Linked DNA regions of Saccharomyces cerevisiae S288C. The gene in region 1 interacts genetically with each later gene. Each region holds a gene or a part of one and is shown on either strand. Other genes may lie near its edges. The genes, in order: IRC21, POL12, PTC1 and IRA2.

Region 1 (3,421 bases):
CCTTACGTCCTGCTGAAATCAGCAAGATTGCCGGTGAAAAGTGGCAAAATTTAGAGGCTGATATAAAGGAAAAATACATTTCTGAAAGAAAAAAGTTGTATTCTGAATACCAAAAGGCGAAGAAGGAGTTTGACGAAAAACTTCCTCCAAAGAAACCAGCAGGACCCTTCATTAAGTATGCCAATGAAGTTCGTTCGCAAGTTTTTGCACAACATCCTGACAAGTCTCAATTGGATCTAATGAAAATTATCGGAGATAAATGGCAATCCTTGGATCAAAGCATTAAGGACAAATACATACAAGAGTACAAAAAAGCTATCCAAGAATATAATGCTCGCTACCCTCTCAACTAGACCGCGGTACTCTCACAATGTTTTTTATGCCTTTATTCTTTCCGTTCCTATCCAAACAAATAAATAAATTTAACTTAACCAAGCAAGTGTGTAGTGTTTTTATATCCTATGTAAGTCTTCAAACTTTTTTTTTATCTCTGGTAACCTTTATTCGCATACAACGCCAATGAAACAAACCTGTAATAATTTTTCATAGTTAACCCATTGATGATACTTATTAAAATATGTAATCAAATCGTCACTATTACGGTGCTTTATTAAGATGTCCGTACCACCTGGATGGAACTTCAAATAACTAGAAATGTCATAGACTTTGCCGTTTATAACGCACCATAACTCGTCCTCACCTTTACAATGCTTCTTTACGATTTTTCTGTTTATTCTTAAGGGTGGCATTATTTTATAAAGGGGTATCTTTTGGACAAGCAATTGGTTCTTCAGTTGTGAAGGTGAAAACTTGAAGTTATCTTTTTGAAATACCGGATCATCGAGTAAATCCTGGATAAGCTGTAGCGAAACGAATTTTGTATAATAATTCGCTGGATTGGAGGTTAGAGAGTGCCAGTCCAGAGCACTGTGCCCAGGATCTAGTCTTATTTTGGTTCTTACAAGAGGCTTTCTTGACGACTTCGACATGGGCATATGCAGCGGGGATGATATGGCAGGATGAGCAACGCTTAGTCGCTGAGGAGCAGCGAATCTGACATTTGGTTTCGAGTTTGAAACATCTCTGTTCATGCCGTCACTACTCATATCTCTATGAGTGTAATCTAAGCACCTGCTAATATGTTATATTCTGCTTATTCGTCCTTTTGCTACACATAATTAATGTAACTTTAACTCTAGTTCTATAAAGGATATGATTTGTACTAAATGTAACATTATACGAAAAAACATATTATTCGTTTATATAAACTAATCAAAGAAGTCGTCATCATCTTCGTCGTCATCATTTTTAGCATTCTGCTTGTCAAATGAATTCAGATCTTCGCTGAAATCTTTCCGTTCGAAGATAATCTTACTGTTATTTTGTGAATTTTGTTGCTTGGCGATACCATTCAAGATTGAAACAATTTCAGCTTCAGTGATTTTATGAGTGACGTTGTTTGTAGCAATCAGTTTCTTTAAGTATGTCTCTACTGCTTGGGCCCTGTCTCTACGGACCAAGGCCACTCGAGATAATCTTTCTAAAGCTTGTGGCTCCAAGAAATTTGCAATAGCTGCACCAACGGGAGCGGAATTTTCACCTCCACCATTATTAGCACCGCTATTTCTATCGCCGTTGGTACCCCCACTGTTGTTTTTCAACTGAGCCAATCTGGCTTCCCTAATAGCTTGTAACTCTGGGTCCATATCTGAGCACACACTTCCTCCTGAATTGTAATCCAGAGAGCAAGAAGATTTTTCAACTTTTACTCTTGGTTCTCCTTGTAGAACCACAAGTGGTATAAAAATTCTCGCTTACCCAGCCCAAAAATTCTCATCTGTTTCTCATCTGTTTCTCGTCCGAATAAGTTTCCCGTTCGCAGCTAGGATTTCACCTGCTCACCATAATAGGCAACTTTCTTCCTCATGTAGGAAATTATACTATTGCTCTCTGTTGCAAGGTTATTTTTGAGCCTTAATACCATATTAGTAGATATAAATACATATATATCGTGTTAACCCATAAGTGGTAGTTTTAGTAGCTCGCTGCAAGATCTGCCTCATTCCTTTGTAGAGAACGACGTACCCACTACGCGTTTGAACATTTGCAACAAGCACGAGAGGAAGGAAGAAGAATACCAAGTATAAACGAGAATAATCACCATAGAAAAACCTATAAAAGACACTTCCATTACCATCTGCTAATAATAATACAATGGACACCAGCAAGAAAGATACTACTAGGTCGCCCTCACATTCCAACAGTTCTTCTCCTTCATCTTCTTCTCTCTCTTCATCTTCTTCCAAAGAGAAAAAACGTCCTAAGAGACTATCCTCCCAGAATGTAAATTACGATTTGAAAAGGAGAAAGATCATCACTTCTGAAGGTATAGAAAGATCATTCAAGAACGAGCATAGCAATCTTGCAGTTGAAGACAATATCCCGGAAGAAGAACCCAAGGAACTTCTTGAAAAGGACTCCAAGGGTAATATCATCAAACTTAATGAGCCATCCACCATCTCGGAAGATTCGAAGGTATCTGTCACTGGATTGCCGTTAAATAAAGGTCCTTCTGAGAAAATCAAGCGAGAGTCTCTTTGGAATTATAGAAAAAATTTGGGAGGCCAATCGAACAACTCAGAAATGACGCTGGTCCCCAGTAAAAGATTTACTCAGGTGCCGAAAAATTTTCAGGATTTGAACAGAAATGATTTGAAAACGTTTTTAACTGAGAACATGACTGAAGAGAGCAATATACGGTCAACTATTGGTTGGAATGGCGATATAATAAACAGAACTCGTGACCGTGAACCTGAAAGCGACCGCGATAATAAAAAGCTATCAAATATTAGAACCAAAATAATACTTTCAACGAATGCTACCTATGATTCAAAAAGTAAACTATTTGGCCAAAATTCCATCAAGTCAACATCGAATGCGAGTGAAAAAATTTTCAGGGACAAGAACAATTCAACCATAGATTTTGAGAATGAAGATTTTTGTTCGGCTTGTAATCAGTCAGGTTCTTTTTTATGCTGTGATACATGCCCCAAATCCTTTCACTTTCTTTGCTTAGACCCACCAATTGATCCGAACAACCTGCCTAAAGGTGATTGGCATTGTAATGAATGTAAGTTTAAAATCTTCATAAATAACTCAATGGCAACTTTAAAAAAAATTGAATCCAACTTCATTAAGCAAAATAACAACGTCAAGATTTTTGCTAAATTACTTTTCAATATCGATTCCCACAACCCAAAACAGTTCCAGCTACCAAATTATATAAAAGAAACCTTTCCTGCTGTGAAAACGGGTTCGAGAGGACAATACTCTGATGAGAATGATAAGATTCCATTAACTGATAGACAATTGTTTAACACTTCTTATGGCCAAAGCATAACTAAATTGGACTCTTACAACC
Region 2 (4,830 bases), on another chromosome or scaffold:
TTTGACTACACATGTTATTTCAATCTAATTTTTGAAATTTATAAATTCGATAATAATCGTTTTAATAAATTGCTAGCTGATTTTGACATTGTATCTACCAAGATGAAAATCTGTCATGAACTTGAAAAGAAGGATGCCAACTTTAAGGTAGAAGACATCATTTCTAGAGAAAGTTCTGTAAGCTTCACTCCCATCGACAATAAAAAATCTGAAGGGGATGAGGAATCCGACGATGCTGTAGACGAAAATGATGTTAAGAAATGCATGGAAATGACAATGATTAATCCCTTCAAAAACTTGGAAACTGATAAAACACTAGAGTTGAAGAATAACGTTGGAAAAAGAACATCAAGCACAGACAGCGTAGTTATTCATGATGATAATGACAAAGATAAAAAGCTTTCAGAAATGACGAAAATAGTAAGTGTTTATCAACTGGACCAGCCAAACCCAGCAAAGGAGGAAGATGATATAGATATGGAAAATTCTCAAAAATCTGATTTGAATTTAAGTGAAATTTTTCAAAACAGTGGTGAAAATACCGAAAGGAAATTGAAGGACGATAATGAACCAACAGTAAAATTCAGTACAGATCCTCCAAAGATAATAAATGAGCCAGAAAAACTTATTGGAAATGGGAATGAGAATGAAAAGCCTGATTTGGAAACAATGTCACCAATCAAAATAAACGGGGACGAGAATATGGGTCAAAAGCAAAGGATCACAGTAAAGAGAGAAAGAGACGTAGCACTAACTGAACAAGACATAAACTCCAAAAAGATGAAACTAGTTAATAACAAAAAATCAGAGAAGATGCATTTGCTTATCATGGATAATTTCCCAAGGGATTCCTTGACTGTATATGAAATTAGTCATCTTTTAATGGTTGATTCTAATGGCAACACTTTGATGGATTTTGATGTCTATTTCAATCACATGTCAAAGGCAATAAACAGGATAAAAAGTGGATCGTTCACTATGAAACATATAAATTACCTGATCGAACCCTTGATTACTTGTTTTCAAAATCAAAAAATGACCGATTGGTTGACGAATGAAAATGGTTTTGATGAACTACTGGATGTTGCTATTATGCTTTTGAAATCTACTGATGACACGCCTTCAATTCCATCAAAAATATCCAGTAAGTCCATAATTCTCGTTCATTGTCTTTTGGTTTGGAAAAAGTTTCTAAATACACTAAGCGAGAATGCCGACGATGATGGCGTTTCGGTGAGAATGTGTTTCGAAGAAGTATGGGAACAGATCCTTTTAATGCTTAATAAATTTTCTGATTATGGAAACGAAATCTATAAATTAGCGCAAGAGTTCAGGGACAGTCTAATGTTATCGCACTTTTTCAAAAAACATTCGGCAACAAGAATTCTAAGCATGTTGGTTACTGAAATTCAGCCTGACACCGCTGGTGTGAAAGAAACATTTTTAATTGAGACCTTATGGAAGATGCTGCAATCTCCTACCATTTGCCAACAATTCAAGAAATCTAATATATCAGAGATTATCCAAACAATGAGCTATTTCATTATGGGGACTGATAATACTTCGTGGAACTTCACCAGTGCCGTGGTATTAGCTCGTTGTTTGAGAGTCCTCCAAACTACTCCAGATTATACTGAGCAAGAAACCGAACGATTATTCGATTGTTTGCCTAAGAATGTCTTTAAAATGATCATGTTCATCGCCTCAAACGAATAGAGAATAGCGTGGTAGACGCGTAATTTTTTTTTACCGTGACGCGTCTCACCAGAGTTTCTTAGTTCTTTCTCTTTTCTAAAACTGTAATAATATGAGCTCTTTGTAGACACATATAACATTTTGTTTCATATACATAATATATTTGCATATAAAAATATCAAGATAATTGATTGTCAATTGGTTCAACAAAGCTTGAAGGTAAATTTAGGCAGGAGCAAGTGACTGAAAAAAAAAAAAATGAGCGGATCTATCGATGTCATCACTCATTTTGGGCCTGATGCAGACAAGCCGGAAATCATCACTGCATTAGAGAATTTAACTAAACTGCATGCATTGTCCGTCGAGGATCTATACATTAAATGGGAGCAGTTCTCCAATCAAAGGCGTCAAACTCACACAGATCTGACTTCCAAGAACATAGATGAGTTTAAACAATTTTTACAATTACAAATGGAAAAGCGTGCTAACCAAATTTCATCGTCCTCTAAGGTAAACACATCCACAAAAAAACCAGTGATTAAAAAAAGTTTGAATTCAAGTCCCTTGTTTGGCCTTAGTATTCCAAAGACTCCGACTTTAAAAAAAAGAAAGTTACATGGTCCCTTTTCACTCAGTGATTCCAAGCAAACATATAATGTAGGCTCTGAGGCAGAAACAAATGAAAAAGGAAATAGTTCTTTAAAATTGGAGTTTACTCCAGGCATGGCAGAAGATGCTGTGGGTGACAGTGCTCCATTGTCCCACGCTAAAAGCTCGGATGCCAAGACTCCCGGCTCGTCGACATTCCAAACTCCAACAACAAACACTCCTACCACATCGAGGCAAAATGTTCCTGCTGGTGAAATTTTGGATTCTTTGAACCCTGAAAATATTGAAATATCATCTGGTAATCCAAATGTAGGCCTTCTTTCGACTGAAGAACCATCATATAACCAGGTCAAAGTAGAACCATTTTATGATGCTAAAAAGTATAAATTCAGAACAATGAGGCAAAACTTACAGGAAGCGTCTGATGTCCTCGATGATCAAATTGAATCGTTTACTAAGATTATTCAAAATCACTATAAGTTATCTCCAAACGACTTCGCTGATCCAACTATTCAATCTCAGTCCGAAATTTATGCTGTTGGAAGGATAGTTCCAGATTCGCCGACCTACGACAAGTTTTTGAATCCAGAATCGCTTTCCCTAGAGACCTCAAGAATGGGCGGCGTTGGAAGAAGGGTAAGGTTAGATCTATCGCAGGTCAACGAGCTTTCGTTTTTCTTAGGCCAAATTGTGGCATTCAAAGGTAAAAATGCTAATGGGGATTACTTCACCGTTAACTCTATTTTGCCGCTACCTTATCCAAACTCCCCAGTGTCCACATCGCAGGAACTGCAGGAGTTTCAAGCAAATTTGGAAGGTTCTTCTTTGAAGGTTATCGTGACCTGTGGCCCATACTTTGCAAATGATAACTTCTCCCTCGAATTGTTGCAAGAATTTATCGATAGTATAAATAATGAGGTAAAACCTCACGTCTTGATAATGTTTGGCCCATTTATAGATATCACCCATCCTCTGATAGCGAGTGGTAAATTGCCAAATTTTCCCCAGTTCAAGACACAGCCCAAAACATTGGACGAGCTTTTTTTGAAGTTATTTACTCCTATTCTAAAAACCATATCACCACATATCCAAACCGTATTGATACCCTCCACAAAAGATGCAATTTCTAATCACGCCGCATATCCACAAGCTTCTTTAATTAGAAAGGCTTTACAGCTGCCTAAAAGGAACTTCAAATGCATGGCTAATCCTTCATCTTTTCAAATAAATGAGATATACTTCGGTTGCTCAAACGTTGATACATTCAAAGATCTAAAGGAAGTCATAAAAGGCGGTACTACCTCATCAAGATATAGATTAGATCGTGTTTCTGAGCATATTTTACAACAGCGCAGGTATTACCCCATATTTCCAGGTAGTATTCGTACAAGAATAAAACCAAAAGACGTATCTACGAAGAAGGAAACCAATGATATGGAAAGCAAAGAAGAAAAAGTTTATGAACATATATCTGGTGCAGATTTAGACGTGAGTTATCTGGGACTAACAGAGTTTGTTGGTGGGTTCTCGCCTGACATAATGATTATACCCAGTGAATTACAACACTTTGCAAGAGTTGTCCAAAACGTAGTTGTTATAAATCCCGGAAGATTTATTAGAGCAACAGGTAACAGGGGATCCTATGCACAAATTACTGTCCAATGCCCTGATCTTGAAGACGGGAAATTGACGCTTGTTGAAGGTGAAGAGCCAGTTTATCTACACAACGTGTGGAAGCGCGCTAGAGTTGACTTGATTGCTAGTTGATATATTTAATTCAAACTTAACTAATGGAATAGCTCAAGGTAGCACCAAAAAGTATTGTTATACACCTGAACTATCGACCTTGAAACTGGCTCTATAACTTACTTATTGATTAAAGACCATAACATGATCAGTATCCGGGTAATAAAGTAACGTGATCAGAGGCCAGAGAAAATGTTCATAAGTAGAGACTACTCTTAAATGCATAATAAAAAAAAAAACTGATAGGCATCACTCTTTCCTTTTTGACTAAGATTCCAGCATCACATTGCAATATGTCCACTGGTATTACTTATGATGAAGATAGAAAGACACAATTAATTGCCCAATACGAATCTGTAAGGGAAGTTGTGAATGCAGAGGCAAAAAATGTTCATGTTAATGAAAATGCCTCCAAAATTTTATTATTGGTTGTTTCGAAATTGAAACCAGCTAGCGATATACAAATTCTTTACGACCATGGTGTGAGGGAGTTCGGGGAAAACTATGTTCAAGAGTTGATCGAAAAGGCAAAATTACTACCAGACGATATCAAGTGGCACTTTATTGGCGGTTTGCAAACGAATAAATGTAAAGATTTGGCTAAAGTGCCAAATTTATACTCTGTTGAAACAATCGACTCCTTGAAGAAAGCCAAAAAATTAAACGAATCGAGGGCTAAATTTCAACCAGATTGCAACCCAATATTGTGTAATGTTCAAATTAATACCTCCCATGAGGATCAAAAATCGGGCTTGAATAATGAAGCAGAAATATTTGAAG
Region 3 (3,959 bases), on another chromosome or scaffold:
TGAAGCTGTGCTAAAGATCTATTAATTGAACATGATATGGTAGGTACATATATGAGGAATATGAGTCGTCACATCAATGTATAGTAACTACCGGAATCACTATTATATTGGTCATGATTAATATGACCAATCGGCGTGTGTTTTATATACCTCTCTTATTTAGTATAAGAAGATCAATACTTATTTCTTCATTAATACTATTTTTTACCTCTAACTATCAACAAGTGATAATTGTTGGAATTCCATTGTTAATAAAGGCAATAATATTATGTATACAGAATACAGCTTCCTCTAACTTCTATGACAGTTTCTCATACCTTATGTCATCATCTAACATTGTACATTATAATATACTCGTAGTAAGACTACTAGTTGAGAGAGAATAGTTGATTTTTATTCTAACAAATAATATTCCAGCAGGTTTACATATTCCTAGGTTTGGGATATATCTTAAGTCAATAATTCATCATTAGTAAGGCAACTTGGCCGAGTGGTTAAGGCGAAAGATTAGAAATCTTTTGGGCTTTGCCCGCGCAGGTTCGAGTCCTGCAGTTGTCGTCATTTTTATATTCCCAATATTTTTATCACTCCGGGTAACGAGTTATTAACGGTTTTTCTCCGGTGGCAAATGTCTCTTTTCTTTTACCTAAAAGAAGGTTAATGTGAATATTAGTGAATATGATGCGTATCAGTGTCAAGCTTACAGTCAATTCAAGTTAAAGAAGAGACAGCGTTTTTAATAGAAAATAAAATGGGACAAGGTGTATCATCTGGACAAGACAAAAAGAAGAAGAAGGGATCTAATCAGAAACCCAAATATGAACCTCCCGTTCAATCTAAATTTGGTCGTAAGAAAAGAAAGGGAGGTCCAGCTACTGCTGAAAAATTACCCAACATATATCCAAGTACTCGTTGTAAGTTAAAGCTTCTAAGGATGGAACGAATTAAAGACCATTTGTTATTAGAAGAAGAATTTGTCTCTAACTCTGAAATTTTAAAACCCTTTGAAAAGAAGCAGGAGGAGGAAAAGAAACAATTGGAAGAAATACGTGGAAATCCATTGAGCATTGGGACCCTTGAAGAAATTATAGACGATGATCATGCGATAGTGACAAGTCCAACTATGCCTGATTATTATGTATCTATCTTATCCTTTGTCGATAAAGAGTTACTAGAGCCTGGATGTTCTGTGTTATTGCATCATAAAACCATGTCCATCGTAGGTGTTTTACAGGATGACGCCGATCCAATGGTTTCGGTCATGAAAATGGATAAGTCGCCAACAGAATCATACAGTGATATTGGTGGCTTAGAATCTCAAATTCAAGAAATAAAAGAGTCTGTAGAGTTACCGTTAACACACCCCGAACTGTATGAAGAGATGGGTATCAAACCTCCCAAGGGTGTGATTCTTTATGGTGCACCCGGTACAGGTAAGACATTGCTAGCAAAGGCTGTTGCAAATCAAACATCTGCCACATTCTTAAGGATTGTTGGCTCAGAGTTAATTCAAAAATATTTGGGGGATGGTCCTAGGTTGTGTAGGCAAATTTTCAAAGTAGCGGGTGAGAATGCACCAAGTATTGTATTTATTGATGAAATAGACGCCATTGGTACTAAAAGATATGACTCCAATAGTGGTGGTGAGAGAGAAATTCAGAGAACCATGCTGGAATTGCTGAACCAGCTGGACGGGTTCGACGACAGAGGGGATGTGAAGGTGATTATGGCCACTAACAAAATCGAGACTCTTGACCCAGCATTAATCAGGCCTGGGAGAATTGATCGTAAAATCTTATTTGAAAACCCTGATCTAAGTACTAAGAAAAAAATTTTAGGGATTCACACTTCCAAGATGAATTTAAGTGAGGACGTTAATCTTGAAACTTTAGTAACAACAAAGGATGATTTGTCAGGCGCCGATATCCAGGCAATGTGTACAGAAGCAGGTTTGTTAGCCCTTAGAGAGAGAAGAATGCAAGTTACAGCGGAGGATTTTAAACAAGCCAAGGAGAGAGTCATGAAAAATAAAGTTGAGGAAAATTTAGAAGGTTTATACTTGTGATGTGCCCATTTACATTTTTCTATAATAGATTTACGTATATAAGTAATGCTTCAACAAAGCTTAATATGTGTACATTTTGTATCACGTGCAATATTTGTTTCAAAAACTTAATATAGGTAGGGCGTCGGGGCCTTCGCGAATTCTAACTGCAAAGGAAAACTGGTGAACACATCTGAGAGGGTTTGTTGTCCTAATTTTATAGGAAACTAAAACTCAAAAGACAAAGTATACCTTTGCAAATTGAAAGCTTAGTTAAACATTATTATTCGTGTGTTTGAGGTCACTTTTTTTCGTCTTAAACAGCTCTCAAAGTTGTCTCAAAATTTTTATCCGGATTCCTTTACATTAACAGACCCCAAACACAACAAGTTTTGATAGTTTAAGTAAGTGAACGCTTATTTTTGTTGTCGTTGAAAAGAAAATAAATAGGCAGTATTATCAATTAGGAGGTGAGTTAAATTCCATTCTATACCGAGTATACGAGATTTTGCACATTCTTACTTCATATATCATTTAGGCACTGCATTTATCTTTTAAAAATCATTATAATGAGTAATCATTCTGAAATCTTAGAAAGGCCAGAAACACCATATGACATAACTTATAGAGTAGGTGTGGCGGAAAATAAAAACTCGAAATTTCGGAGGACAATGGAAGATGTTCATACGTATGTTAAAAACTTTGCTTCAAGATTAGATTGGGGATATTTCGCGGTGTTTGATGGACATGCTGGGATTCAGGCCTCCAAATGGTGTGGTAAACATCTTCATACAATTATAGAGCAAAACATTTTGGCAGATGAAACACGAGATGTTAGAGATGTATTGAACGATTCATTCCTAGCCATTGACGAAGAAATTAATACAAAACTTGTAGGAAATAGTGGATGTACTGCTGCTGTTTGCGTATTACGTTGGGAGCTTCCGGATTCAGTTTCTGATGATTCAATGGATTTAGCCCAACACCAAAGAAAGTTATATACAGCAAATGTTGGTGATTCTCGAATAGTATTGTTTAGAAACGGGAACAGCATAAGACTGACTTATGATCATAAGGCATCTGACACTTTGGAGATGCAGAGAGTTGAACAAGCAGGTGGCCTGATAATGAAAAGTCGTGTAAATGGTATGCTGGCAGTGACGAGATCGTTAGGGGATAAATTTTTTGATAGTTTAGTAGTGGGCAGCCCATTTACCACGAGCGTAGAAATAACTTCTGAGGACAAATTTTTAATCCTAGCGTGTGATGGATTATGGGATGTTATTGATGATCAAGATGCATGCGAATTAATCAAGGATATTACTGAACCTAATGAAGCTGCAAAAGTCTTGGTTAGATATGCTTTGGAAAATGGCACAACAGATAATGTAACGGTCATGGTTGTCTTCCTCTAAGAAGGATCCGTTATAAACCGCGCAAAAATTATGCATAGACATAGAGATATGCAATGTGTATGTGTGTATGTATGTATATGTATAAACGTACCAAATCTATTTTGCATGCATCTCTCACATGACGAATGAGGTTTTAGTAGAATAGGATTCCAGATTTTTAAACTGGAGAACATATTCTATCATATATATACCAATTAAATTCACGTAGCGAATGCACAACACGGTTTACAAGTCAATAGTTAACAATAGGAAGACCAAGCTATATATTGAAGCCGCTGAGGTCTAATTCGCCATTATCTCCAGTGGTCGACCAGTCAATATTAAGGTCGTTGAAATCATTTAATGTCAAGTATTCTTCACCGTTGTCGGCTGGAGGAGGGTTATCTCCAGGATTGGAAACAACGGTCGTTGGTAAATCATTATTAACTATATTTTCATTATCATTTCCGGTAGTGATAGAATTGTTCTTGTTATTGCTGTCGTTGTTGGTGGTATTGTTA
Region 4 (5,608 bases), on another chromosome or scaffold:
AAGGAAAGCTTATGTAGAGAAGACGCACACGAAGATCCCGTATCTCCAAAGGCTGGTTCCGAAGAAGAGATAAGCCCTAATTCCACCTCTAATGTGGTTGTGTCAAGAGAATGCTTGGATAACTTCATGAAACAACTCCTTAAGTTGGAAGAATCGTTAAATAAGTTGGAATTGGAGCAAAAGGTCACAAATAAAGAACCTAACCACAGAATAAGCGGTACGATTGACATACCAGAAGATAGGTCCGAACTAGTGAACTTTTTCACAGAGTTGAAAACAGTCAAACAACTTGAGGACGTTTTTCAACGTTACCATGACTATGAGAGGTTATCACAAGAATGTGACAGTAAGACGGAAATCGCCTCTGACCATTCGAAAAAGGAAACTAAAATAGAAGTGGAACCCCCAAATGAGCGCTCATTGCAAATCACAATGAACCAAAGGGACAATTCATTGTATTTCCAGTTGTTTAACAACACAAACTCTGTTTTGGCAGGCAACTGCAAACTGAAGTTTACTGACGCTGGCGATAAGCCAACCACGCAAATTATTGACATGGGTCCTCATGAAATAGGAATAAAGGAGTACAAGGAATACCGATACTTTCCATACGCACTTGATTTAGAGGCCGGCTCCACTATCGAGATTGAAAATCAGTATGGAGAAGTGATCTTCTTGGGCAAGTATGGCTCTTCTCCAATGATTAACTTAAGGCCACCTTCAAGATTATCTGCAGAAAGTTTACAGGCATCCCAAGAGCCATTTTACTCCTTTCAAATCGATACGTTACCAGAACTGGATGACTCTAGTATCATCAGTACATCCATTTCACTCTCTTATGACGGTGACGACAATGAAAAAGCCCTGACTTGGGAAGAACTCTAGGTCAAACTCTATTTTTATACAGCAATGAGTACCTTTTCACATACACATAAATATATTAAATATAATAAATACAATAAATATAAAATAACCCTTTTCGAAACTCTTTACTTCCTAAGGCCTCTCATTACTTATCACCTAGCATCATGCTCTTCATACATGCCATCTACTTTCAAACGATATACGGCTAACCAGAAAAGTACGGACAATCAGGGACGAGCAGGGACATGACGCCTTCCGCACAGATCCCAGAGAAAAGCAGGGAAACAAGAAAATAAGAAAACAAGAAAAACAGTAGTTACCCTTGTAAGTGTCATCCACAACAGAACCAATACTCTTACTCTTCCGCTCATTCCCCGCAGAATGATAGAACTATTCTAAATCCCCTTGCCTTGCTTGGCCTTGACTTGGGTTGGGACTTGGACCTCTAGAACCGATGTGCCTTCAAACATCTTAGCGAGATAAGAGTCTGCCATTAATGCATCGAGCCAATATCTTGGACTAGTACGAGGTTCACGTAGCCTTTCTTGCACGGCACCAGCGTCCCACCCCAAGTTCTTTGCTATACTGACCGCCTTACACATTTTAGTGTGATTCCAACCCAAAGTAGCTCCTCAAAAAGGGTCACCCGATCGGTGAATCAATCCGCGGCGCAGAAATGTTCGTAGAGCTCTCGTTTCTTCTAGAACGCTCCCTTGATGAAACGAAAATTTCCATCACAATAAAGCTCGCACGCCTTTTTGAAAACCCCAAGCTTTGCTGTGTCTTCTTGTGAAAAGTTTTGCCCAACGATTATCTATTCTACATATAACCGGGGAGTTAAGCACATCCTATTGCCCTACATTCTCTCCGCTTACTTCATTGTCTAGAGCTCCTGGGAAACAAAAGACCGAAAAAGCGAAAACAAAATCAGAACAAGGCTTAAGTACTTTTTCACCAATTGTAGCAAACATTTAACCACATTTTAGCACACTAGCATATAGCATTGTCCTCTGTTATTCGTTTTGCTTTTCTCCTTTAGTGTTACTTTTCCCCCAACGTTACACCATTTTTTGATATCAACTAAACTGTATACATTATCTTTCTTCAGGGAGAAGCATGTCCCAGCCCACTAAGAATAAGAAGAAAGAACACGGGACCGATTCCAAGTCATCCCGCATGACTCGGACGTTGGTTAATCATATTCTTTTTGAAAGAATTCTCCCGATCCTTCCGGTGGAGTCTAATCTAAGTACCTATTCGGAAGTGGAAGAGTATTCCTCATTCATTTCATGCAGATCTGTGCTCATTAACGTTACCGTTTCCCGAGATGCAAATGCTATGGTGGAAGGCACCTTGGAGTTGATAGAATCGCTTCTTCAAGGGCACGAAATCATTTCAGATAAGGGTAGCAGTGACGTTATTGAATCAATACTGATTATACTAAGATTGTTAAGTGATGCGCTAGAGTATAATTGGCAAAATCAAGAAAGCCTTCATTACAACGACATTTCGACTCACGTAGAACATGACCAAGAACAGAAGTACAGACCAAAGCTTAACAGTATTCTGCCCGACTACTCGTCGACTCATTCCAATGGCAACAAACACTTTTTCCACCAGAGCAAACCTCAGGCACTGATACCGGAACTGGCATCGAAATTGCTTGAGAGTTGCGCGAAGTTGAAGTTCAATACAAGAACTTTGCAAATTTTACAAAATATGATCAGTCATGTTCATGGAAACATTCTAACGACTTTGAGTTCCTCGATTCTTCCCCGCCACAAATCCTATCTGACAAGGCACAACCATCCTTCTCATTGTAAAATGATTGACTCTACTCTAGGCCATATTCTCCGATTTGTAGCGGCTTCCAATCCGTCCGAGTATTTTGAATTTATCAGAAAGAGTGTGCAAGTGCCCGTAACACAGACACACACGCATTCACACTCCCATTCACACTCTTTGCCATCTTCCGTTTATAACAGCATAGTGCCCCACTTTGATCTTTTCAGCTTCATCTATTTAAGCAAGCATAATTTTAAGAAATACTTGGAACTCATCAAAAACTTATCGGTGACGTTAAGGAAAACGATTTATCATTGCCTACTTTTGCATTACAGCGCCAAAGCAATAATGTTTTGGATAATGGCTAGGCCTGCGGAATATTATGAACTCTTCAACTTATTAAAAGATAATAACAATGAACACTCGAAATCCTTAAACACGTTAAACCATACACTTTTCGAGGAGATCCATTCGACTTTTAATGTGAATAGCATGATAACCACCAATCAAAATGCTCATCAAGGCTCATCTTCCCCTTCGTCCTCCTCGCCATCGTCACCACCTAGCTCATCATCATCGGATAACAACAATCAAAACATAATAGCAAAATCCTTAAGTCGTCAGCTTTCTCACCACCAGTCATACATTCAACAGCAGTCTGAAAGAAAACTACATTCTTCATGGACTACAAACTCTCAATCCTCTACTTCACTGTCATCTTCAACGTCTAATTCAACAACAACTGATTTCTCTACTCACACTCAACCAGGAGAATATGACCCTTCCTTACCAGATACTCCCACGATGTCTAACATCACTATTAGTGCATCTTCATTATTATCTCAAACTCCAACTCCAACAACACAATTGCAACAGCGGTTGAACTCAGCAGCTGCAGCCGCCGCCGCAGCTGCTTCACCATCGAATTCCACCCCAACTGGATACACAGCAGAGCAACAAAGTCGCGCTTCATACGATGCACACAAAACTGGCCATACTGGTAAGGATTATGACGAACATTTTTTGTCTGTCACTCGTTTGGATAATGTTTTGGAGTTATACACGCACTTTGATGATACTGAGGTACTACCACACACATCCGTACTGAAGTTTTTAACTACTTTGACAATGTTCGATATTGACCTTTTTAATGAATTAAACGCTACATCATTCAAATATATTCCTGATTGTACTATGCATCGTCCAAAAGAAAGAACAAGTTCTTTCAATAATACTGCACACGAGACAGGTTCCGAAAAGACTTCGGGTATAAAACATATTACACAAGGCTTAAAGAAATTAACTTCTTTACCTTCCTCAACCAAAAAAACTGTAAAATTTGTGAAGATGTTGCTAAGAAATTTAAATGGGAATCAAGCTGTATCAGATGTTGCCCTCTTAGATACAATGAGGGCCTTACTATCATTCTTTACAATGACTTCTGCGGTCTTTCTCGTGGATAGAAACTTACCCTCAGTACTTTTTGCCAAGAGACTCATCCCCATAATGGGGACAAATTTAAGCGTCGGTCAAGACTGGAATTCAAAAATAAATAACAGTTTGATGGTTTGTTTGAAAAAAAACTCCACCACGTTTGTTCAATTACAATTAATATTCTTCTCTTCAGCTATTCAATTCGATCATGAATTATTACTGGCACGTCTGAGCATCGATACAATGGCCAACAATTTAAACATGCAGAAGCTATGCCTTTATACTGAAGGATTCAGGATATTCTTCGACATACCAAGTAAGAAGGAATTGCGGAAGGCAATTGCGGTTAAAATTTCTAAATTTTTCAAAACATTATTCTCCATTATAGCAGATATTCTTTTACAAGAATTTCCGTATTTTGATGAGCAAATCACCGACATAGTTGCTTCCATTCTTGACGGTACAATTATCAATGAGTATGGTACGAAGAAACATTTCAAGGGGAGCTCACCCTCTTTATGTTCGACAACCCGGTCAAGATCAGGATCTACATCTCAAAGTTCAATGACACCAGTTTCTCCGCTGGGACTGGATACTGATATATGTCCAATGAACACCCTGTCTTTAGTTGGTTCAAGTACTTCAAGAAATTCTGACAACGTTAATTCATTAAACAGTTCACCAAAGAACTTGTCTTCTGATCCATACTTGTCACATCTTGTGGCCCCAAGAGCGCGTCATGCTTTAGGTGGGCCATCTAGTATTATAAGGAATAAAATACCGACTACATTGACTTCACCTCCAGGAACGGAAAAATCTTCACCAGTACAACGTCCGCAAACGGAAAGCATCAGTGCCACACCAATGGCCATAACAAATTCTACTCCATTATCGTCGGCAGCATTCGGAATTCGATCGCCTTTGCAGAAAATAAGAACGAGGCGTTATTCCGATGAAAGTTTAGGAAAATTCATGAAATCAACAAATAATTACATTCAAGAACATTTGATACCAAAAGATTTGAATGAAGCAACTCTTCAAGATGCTAGAAGAATAATGATTAATATTTTCAGTATTTTTAAGAGACCGAATAGTTACTTCATCATTCCTCACAATATAAACTCGAATTTACAATGGGTTTCGCAGGATTTTAGAAATATTATGAAACCGATTTTCGTCGCCATCGTAAGTCCGGATGTAGATTTACAGAATACTGCTCAATCATTCATGGATACCTTATTATCGAATGTTATTACTTATGGTGAATCAGATGAGAATATCAGTATTGAAGGGTATCATCTTCTTTGCAGTTACACTGTAACATTATTTGCAATGGGCCTTTTCGATTTGAAAATTAATAATGAAAAGCGTCAAATTCTCTTGGATATAACTGTCAAGTTTATGAAGGTTAGATCACATTTAGCAGGGATCGCGGAGGCCTCACACCACATGGAATACATAAGTGATTCTGAAAAACTCACCTTTCCGCTGATTATGGGGACTGTTGGTAGGGCCCTATTTGTTT

What was found.
Region 2: mutations in IRC21 (region 1) and POL12 together harm fitness more than expected from each alone (negative genetic interaction), as found in Saccharomyces cerevisiae (2 studies listed by BioGRID).
Region 3: mutations in IRC21 (region 1) and PTC1 together harm fitness more than expected from each alone (negative genetic interaction), as found in Saccharomyces cerevisiae (4 studies listed by BioGRID, with this or other methods).
Region 4: mutations in IRC21 (region 1) and IRA2 together harm fitness more than expected from each alone (negative genetic interaction), as found in Saccharomyces cerevisiae (4 studies listed by BioGRID).

What each region holds. Positions count from the first base shown.
Region 1 is NC_001145.3:411,768-415,188, forward strand, and holds IRC21 (Irc21p), read right to left. Parts: upstream 1,107-3,421; coding exon 501-1,106; downstream 1-500. Other genes in the region: DNA-binding protein ABF2, read left to right, coding at 1-353; SDD2 (Sdd2p), read right to left, coding at 1,269-1,706; RCO1 (Rco1p), read left to right, coding at 2,215-3,421. UniProt on the Saccharomyces cerevisiae protein: Involved in resistance to carboplatin and cisplatin. Is probably involved in a pathway contributing to genomic integrity.
Region 2 is NC_001134.8:150,734-155,563, reverse strand, and holds POL12 (DNA-directed DNA polymerase alpha subunit POL12), read left to right. Parts: upstream 1-1,953; coding exon 1,954-4,071; downstream 4,072-4,830. Other genes in the region: STU1 (Stu1p), read left to right, coding at 1-1,716; YBL036C (pyridoxal phosphate homeostasis protein), read left to right, coding at 4,344-4,830. UniProt on the Saccharomyces cerevisiae protein: Non-catalytic component of DNA polymerase alpha, which in a complex with DNA primase (DNA polymerase alpha:primase) constitutes a replicative polymerase.
Region 3 is NC_001136.10:437,296-441,254, forward strand, and holds PTC1 (type 2C protein phosphatase PTC1), read left to right. Parts: upstream 1-2,613; coding exon 2,614-3,459; downstream 3,460-3,959. Other genes in the region: proteasome regulatory particle base subunit RPT2, read left to right, coding at 752-2,065; MED2 (Med2p), read right to left, coding at 3,719-3,959. UniProt on the Saccharomyces cerevisiae protein: Serine and threonine phosphatase. Involved in tRNA splicing and cell separation.
Region 4 is NC_001147.6:169,090-174,697, forward strand, and holds the start of IRA2 (Ras GTPase activating protein IRA2), read left to right. Parts: upstream 1-1,980; coding exon 1,981-5,608. Other genes in the region: ATG19 (Atg19p), read left to right, coding at 1-885. UniProt on the Saccharomyces cerevisiae protein: Inhibitory regulator of the Ras-cyclic AMP pathway. Stimulates the GTPase activity of Ras proteins.